2 linked regions of the Ovis aries genome follow. The protein of the gene in region 2 interacts with the protein of the main gene of each other region in a pairwise test. Links are inferred from orthologs where the notes say so. Each region holds a gene or a part of one and is shown on either strand. Other genes may lie near its edges.

The links.
Region 1: the proteins of TFDP1 (region 2) and E2F6 interact in binary tests that used the Homo sapiens proteins (3 or more experiments, as listed by UniProt). The link is inferred for Ovis aries from reciprocal best matches to the Homo sapiens genes TFDP1 and E2F6.

The regions. Positions count from the first base shown.
Region 1 is NC_056056.1:20,407,471-20,411,278, forward strand, and holds part of E2F6 (transcription factor E2F6), read right to left. Parts: intron 3,782-3,808; coding exon 3,625-3,781; intron 2,678-3,624; coding exon 2,564-2,677; intron 1,134-2,563; coding exon 977-1,133; intron 509-976; coding exon 459-508; 3' UTR 1-458. UniProt on the Homo sapiens protein: Inhibitor of E2F-dependent transcription. Binds DNA cooperatively with DP proteins through the E2 recognition site, 5'-TTTC[CG]CGC-3'. Has a preference for the 5'-TTTCCCGC-3' E2F recognition site.
Region 2 is NC_056063.1:86,062,734-86,066,541, reverse strand, and holds part of TFDP1 (transcription factor Dp-1), read right to left. Parts: intron 3,607-3,808; coding exon 3,500-3,606; intron 1,211-3,499; coding exon 1,089-1,210; intron 223-1,088; coding exon 57-222; intron 1-56. UniProt on the Homo sapiens protein: Can stimulate E2F-dependent transcription.

The sequences.
Region 1 (3,808 bases), on a different chromosome or scaffold from region 2:
AGTCTCACTCAAGACGTATTTCACAAGTGATCTAGACATTATACAAATATGTACAAAGATGTCACATCAGGTGCGTGCACACACCCGTCCACGCAGACATGACCCTGTGTAAGGCAACTTTTGTGACGACGACACATGATCTGCGCGGCAAAGGGCAGAGTCCACGAGGAGCTGTCTACCCTGCCTGCCTGTCTGTTTCACAGTTGTGTGATTCAGTAATTTCAGTAGGCAAGATGACCGCTTCACTGGCAAAAAAGCAGTGAATAATTATAAAAAGAGCTGCTTTCAAATGCAGAAACCGCCATTATCCAGAAATCTAAGCAGCAAAGTGCTTGGAGGCATTCCTGGCCTTCTTGCGGCTACCAAGCATGAGAAAATGGCAGGGATGATTTATTGCTCTGAGGATCTTCGTCCACACAGGAGTCCAAGAGACTCAACACATGGACCCTCAAACACCATCAGTTGCTCACTTCAAGCACTTCTTCACTTTGCTGTGGAAGATTTTCTTCTGAAAGATAACAAACACGGGAGAAATCTTCCTAAATGATGGTCTCAAAGGCAGGCAGCTAAGAGAACTTTCGAGATAAAATAGGAAGACCTCAGTCAAGAACCATATTCTTACGTGAGTGGCATAAGGCTAATGTTTCCAGTCTCACAAGAATAATAAACCAGGACTCAAGCATGAGCCTGAGGGCCTGGGTCAGAGGATCAGACAGCCTGCTCTACAGAGACCACACTCCAAAACCAACCATTCTAACTTTTCACGGATATTAAAATTACATGGGATTTAACAACAGGGTTGTTAGAAGCAGTAAGCAACTATAGCATAATTTTTAACTCATGTTTTTGTAGCTAGGAAGAGTAAAAATACCTCTAAGGCCATAATATTCATTTTATATTATTAATTTTCATATTCACAATATTCATTTGTAAAACTATACACATTTAAAAAATCGTTTTAAATCGGCCTGTTTACCTTTCTCAGGTTGAGGGTGCTCCAAAGGCTTGCTTTTGGATGAAGAGGTCCCTACACTGTCCGAAGTTTTATTACTTGAGTGGGAACCCTGCTCCACTTCACATAAATAAACATCAATGGGTCCTTTGGTGCTCCTGATATGTACTGTGATAGAATCCTAGCAAAAGACACAGAAAGCATTAAGATGAATGAGAGGATTCATGAATTACATTTTTTCACTTATTAGAACTGTTAAAGTTTCAAGGGACACTTTTGGAAATTCTCATCCAGGTAGTTTCTTTGCTGTCATATATTTGAGAATATCATGTACTTGCTTAGACTGAACCACAGGAAGCACTCACTAGGAAGTATCACTTCGAAGTCACAACTTGAGTGTGACTGGAATAAACAAAAGGTGCTCCTTAACTGTCTGTCATACACTGTCCAGTTAACAGCTAGGGTCTCACGTGCACTGTGGTCTTCTGGGGATAAAAGGGAAGGTGGGTAGGAGCTGCTTCACTGAGGGAGGTTAAGTCCCCTATTGCAAAGAAGAAGACACAACTTCAGTACTTCAGCACGACTTCAGTCTATCAGGCCTTCAGCACTCCATCTGTCCTAAGAATGGTCTCACTCCTTGATTCTGATTCCACCCTGAACACGCATCTTCAACGAGTATCTTTCAACACAAACTTTCCTGTAAGCAGTGGACAGTATTTCCACACACATTAATTTTACTTTTCATTTTAAATGTTTAACTTAGAGTCCTCCTTTCTCTGTTGAGTCTTTTATGAGTTTGGCTAGTGAGCTAATTCCCCAGAGCCCTGTTTGACACTGGATCTTAACACTGAGGCCAATTCTTGGTGATTCCTCTAAGAGCCCATGATAGTACGATGGCTAAGAACAGACTCTGAAACCAAACTGTCTGGGTTTGAATTCTGTTTCTCTCACTTACTGTATGATGGTAAGAAAGTTTATCATTCTGTGCTTTAGATTTCTCATCTGTAAGAGGACAATAATCATGACTACTGAGTTTCTGTTACTCAAAACACATTAAACACATTAAAATGGGTGAAGAGCCTTGAGCTGTGGATCAGGGATGCAGCTAACATGCACACTAGTTATTAAGTTACTGGGACTGCAACAACGCACAGCTGCCGCAGCTGGCTTGCCTGCCTTTGTTGTTGTTTAGTCACACAGTTGTGTCCAATTCTCTGTGACCCATGGACTGCAGTCCACCAGGCTCCTCCGTCCATGGGACTTTCCAGCAAGAACACTGGAGTGGGTTGCCATTTTCTTCTCCAGGGGATCTTCCCAACACAGGGACTGAACCCGCATCTCCTGCACCGTAGGTGGATTCTTTACTGCTGAGCCACCAGGGAAGCCCGTTTCCCTTTAAACCTTCTTAAGAACGGGAGTGGGGGGTGGGGTGGGGTGGAGAATTCTTGCTTGGAGAATCCCCACGTACAGAAGAGCTTGGTGGGCTAAAGTCCATAGGTGGCAAAGAGTCAGACGTGACTTGAGCAACTAAGCACATGCACACACACACAAACACGCATGCACGTAGGTGCGCGCATGCACACACACACACACAAAAGCAGGGCTACCTACCTCTTTGGGAGCTGGAACATCCAATCTGGTTTCTGCCGGCGCTTTAACTGCAATTACAATCTGTTCATAGAAGGCTTGGATGCTGTGAATGTCTTGATACGTCACATATGCTAGTGTAAAAATCAGTTAAGGGTCTCTAAACAGAGGGTGGAGATTAAAAAATAATTTCATATGTAATTCTTACTATTTCATCAACGATCCTTAGGATTTCATGAAGTGTTTTACAATATAACTCAAAAGAATTCTTTTATACTACTGTGATAGTGATGACACTTTCTGGAGAAAAAATAGTAATAAAGTCTGGGTGTTTAAAACAAAGACACCACACGAAGGTATTCAAACCTCCTTGTACTTTTCCCTATCATTGTTACATCTTATGAGAACCTCTAGGGGAAAAAAAGTGTTTTGATGAGAATCTCCTAAAATGTAAGGGAGAAAGAATCTGTTAGTAGTAGAAACAACTTAGAACCAGTTTTTCAGGACTATCACGTACTCATGGGAGTGCTCTCATCCCAAACTATTTTCCATCTTGCTACCTGAATTTTTCTCATTTTATTGTATTGCTTGAAATTTTACCATTTACCTGATTTAAAGGGTTTCCCCAGCATTTTTTTTTTTTAACTCCACAGACCTTTTTGACTGAGTCCAGTGACAGCATTTACTTTCCTTCCAATAACTGTATTGTGGAAACAGGAGTTTTTGACTGGTGTAGAACCTCAGTAAATTTGAAACGTGGACTAGCTCAGTATCGGTGACACCTCAGAAAGGTGCTGCATGGGGAACACGGCAGCAAAACTGTCTAGGAGACTAGGGGAGAGATCAGAATCAAAGACAATCTCCCCCTTTGGTCCCAGAGACACTAAACTGAAGAGCATGACCATCCAACTGCGTCAGGCCTGGTGGACTGGAAAGGCAGTTTCAGTATGATTTCTATAGCAGTTCATTCACTTCAAAAGGTCTGGTTTTGTATCTTAAATATATTAACTAAATTTCCAAGCTGAGCCTACTATTTAAGGTAATTGCTTTGGGAGATTTTTTTTTAGGGTACAGATTAAAGGATATCTTTCATTTTCTTTGTCATCTGTTAACTCAAACAACTGCTGAGCACAATCCTTGATTAACTCATCCAGGGCATCTTCCATTGCTGATAAGTCAGACAGCTCCTCCTGCAGCTTCTTCTGCTGGGGCACTGCTCCAAAATTGCTAAGATCAGACCCTCTTTAAAAGAAAAAGATCACTATCAAC
Region 2 (3,808 bases):
GCGGCCTCTCCAGGGCTCCGGGGCCGCCTCCGCACCCGCCCGCCCGACGCGCTCACCGACTCGCTGGGCAGGATGTGGCTGTCGGCCGCGCTGAACTCGGCCACCAGCTCGTCGGCCACCTCGTTGTAGGACGTCGTCCCCTTGCGCTGCACCTTCTCGCACACCTTCATGGAGAAGTGCCGCAGCCCCTTCCCGTTCTTCTCTCCTTTCCGGTTGCGCTTCCTGCGGGACAGCGCGGAGCGGCCGCAGCCTCAGCTCGCAGCGCGGGCCGGCCACACCCGCGTCTGGGGGCCGGCTCGTGCCGCCAGGGGCCCCCATGGGCCATGCCCAACAGAGGAGGGGTGGGAGCCTGGCTCCGGCCCCCGTCCAGGGACCCCCCTCCAGGGACCCCCCTCCTTGAAAGGCTGCAGCACAAACTTCCACGGGGCTGCGCCCCACACGTCTCTTCAAGTCTAGGGGAAAGCAGGGCAGGACCCGGGACACGCAGGACTGGTGTCCAGATGCTACACGGTGCTTGGTAATAAACATCCTTGGCTGTGAGGAGCTACGGAAGTTTAGCTGCAAATTTCGGAATTTGGGGCGAACGCAGCTCTGCTGAGACGAGGCCACATGGCAGCTGGGAGGGAGACCCAACACCTGACCTTCTAAGTCGCCACATCAGGGGAAGGGCCACCCAGGTTCCCCACTGGGGGGTTTCGGGGACTGATGGTTGTTGCTTTAGAACGAGTAGCTTTTTGTCTTTAAGGACAGTCGCACAGCTGACCTCTGAGTAAAACTGTTTCACGTTACTTTGCTTTTGGAGGAAAAGATCCAGGCAACAGTGTGACCGCGGCACGGGGCTGCCCACAGCCACGTTTAGCAGCAGGGGAGAGGCTGGAAGACCCACCCGTTTCCTGGGGCTCCACAGACGGTACTTTCCAGCATGGACAGTGCGCTTAGAGGCCGGAGCCCAGCCCTCAGTGGAGCCAGGGCGGCTGCCCACGGCCTGGCCTCTCGAGGGCCCGCGGGGCCACTGCCGGCTCCTCCGGCACGCTGGTGCCCACGCGCGCACAGAGGCTGGGTGGGGGGTGTTCCAGGCAAGTGCTCACCCAGCAGACCAAGGAGAGGGCTCTGAAGGCTGGTTCTGGGAGACGAAGTGAGTGTTCGGGGTGTGTGGGCTGCCTACCACGATAGTGTTTGGCGCTGCAGGCCTCTGAGGTGTACCAATCACCTACAGTCAAAAGAGACAATTCAGAACAGTCAGAATCTCCCACGCATGACACTGCCGCCTCATCAGTTCCTGTAACCTACAGCCGCCGCTGAGTGTCGTTAACCAGAGGCTGGAGGAGGGTCCCGAGAGCCCCCGGAGCCCTGGCTGCCTTCCGCCTGCTGCACACAGGTGGCTGGAGACAGCTCTGAGACCCGCATGCCCCACTTTCACCTCCTTCCCCCGCAACCCAGAGATGAGACTCTGCTTCACTGGGGCAGCAACGAGCCCCGGAGACGAAGAGGAAAAGAACCCAGGGCCAGTGGGGCTCACTGCGGCGACCCCAGCACCCGCTCACCCACGCAGGGAGCCCTGGGCACCCTGGCCAGCGCAGGGCGGGGGTGGGGTGCAGCGCCACCGGGGCAGAGGCAGGCGCCCACTGCTCGGGCACAGACACGCAGCCCAGAAGCCCTGCCCTGTGGCCCCGCGTTCACAGGGCATGCACACACCGCCTCATCCAGCCAAGCAGGAGCTCGGCTCCCCAGGGACTCGTGCCTGAGCCCAGAAACCACTCAGAAGCAGTGCTTCCTGGTGACCGGCGTGGGAGGCCCAGGCCCCCCGCGCTGGCGGTGGAGGGCGGGCCACGGCTGTGCTATTTTAAGCTGGATGCTCCCCCTGGTCCGCTGCTTAGCAGGATAAGGGCTACCTGCCGCAGCGCTGATACAGCTGACCTGGCACTTTGCAAATCACCCCTAAGCCCAGGTCACCTATGAATATCAGCGATCCAGACCATGGAAGGGAAAACAGCTCAGCTGAGTCCCAGTCTCTTAATCCACGTTCCCAATGATCAAAGCATCACCAGCGTTTCACTCTCATTCAAGAGATATGAAATCAAACAGCGTGTGTTCTAGAAAGTGATCAAACGGCACCTGTGTCCCAGACTGGACCAGGGTGGACGGCAAGAATCCCCAGAGCCGAGGCCTCGAGAGTGAGTGCTGAGGAGGCCCCGGGTCACGGCTCATCTCCTCGAGAGCCGTCCCTCCAGCGCTCAGGAAAACGGGCTCGGGACGGCGCGCCGCCCACGGCCAGGCTTGCCGACCCCCTGCCTTGGTCCCTGGCCCCCCGCTGGGGCCTGCTCCCCGCCCACCCGGAGAACACCCCCCTCAGCCACAGCTGCCCTGCAGGGAGAGCAGGTGCCCACTGGCTGTGCATTCCCAAGGCGGCCTTCCTGGACCACACGGGACATGGGGGCGGGCAGGGCACCCCATGCCCGTGGGCGGTACCTCAGCCTCACAGAGGGCCCTGTGGGTGCTCATTCCACCCTCACACCCTGATTTCCACTGCTTTCCACCGACCTCCTGTGAGAACCCCCAGCTCTCTGTGCCCAGCCGGAGAGGCACCGGGGTGTGGGGAAGATCGTGCCGGCTGATGAGCTCGGCCTGAGCCGGCTCTGGGAAGCCGTGGGGGAGCGTCCGCTAAGGGGCTGAAGGTCGGGACACCGACAGGAACCTCCGTGTCACTCCTGCTCCCTCTATTTAAACTGGAAACAGCACGAGAGCTGTCCCTACGCTCCCCGAGCCACTCTCAGCTGTGACTCTGCTATGAAACAACACACAGCACCTACAAAATAAGACGACGTGAATTATAGCTTCCATCAGAAAGACGTTCACTGACTGTGATGTTCCAGGAAGGCCCCAGCCTCCACGCACTACGTGGAGTGTTGCAGCAAAGCTGCTGAGCCAACGCGGTCACCGTCACAGTGGGGCTGAGCGACAGGCCGTCACGCACCTGCCGGGGGGCCAGGCCACAGGCGCGGGTGGGACACGAACGCCCCACCGCTCATGGCCACGGGTCGCATCAGGAAGAGGCCGTCGAGCCTGCAGGCAGGAGCTGGCGGGGCTCCTGGGGGGCACCGGGCGAGGCCCCGGGAGTCTGACCCCTCCCGCCAACCAGGAAGGCCAGAGCAGCCACGGCCCGCATCCGCAGAGCCCCGATCCCACAAGAGGCTGGCCCGGTGCCAGCCCCGCATCCGCAAGCCCCAAATCACGAAAGGCTGGCCCAGTGCCAGCCCTGCGTCTGCAAGCCCTGAACCCATGAGAGGCTGGTCCAGTGTCAGCCCCACGTCCCGGGCAGGCAACCAGCCCCGGCCAGGAGCAGCCGGCCCACCCGAGGGCATGCACCGCCCACAGGCCCCACGAGGGCAGAGGCAGGAGCGGCTGGGAAGCCGCAGGCAGGCAGCCCCGCGCCGGGGACGCCCGGCACCGGCCCCGCACCCGAGACCGTGGCCTTGGACGGCAAGCCTCCCGGCCTTACCACTTGCTGCGAGATGTTGACGTTGGACTGTCCAAAGGTCTTTGGCAGGAGCTGCTTCCCGAGAGAGTTCACTGTGGAGGGGTGGACAGCAACCAAGGACACCACGCCTGCAACGCGAGAGGCGCCGTCACAGCGGCCCTGAGGCCGGCCCAAGGCATCTGCGGCAGCCGAGCGCTGCTCGGGCCACCCTCCTGCCCTGGGCCCCATCCGACCCACAGGCGGCTGCAGGCACCTCGGCCGAGCCTGACTCCCAAACCTGGCAGCTGCGCCCACACCGCCCTCTCCCGACCACAGGCCCTGGCGTACACC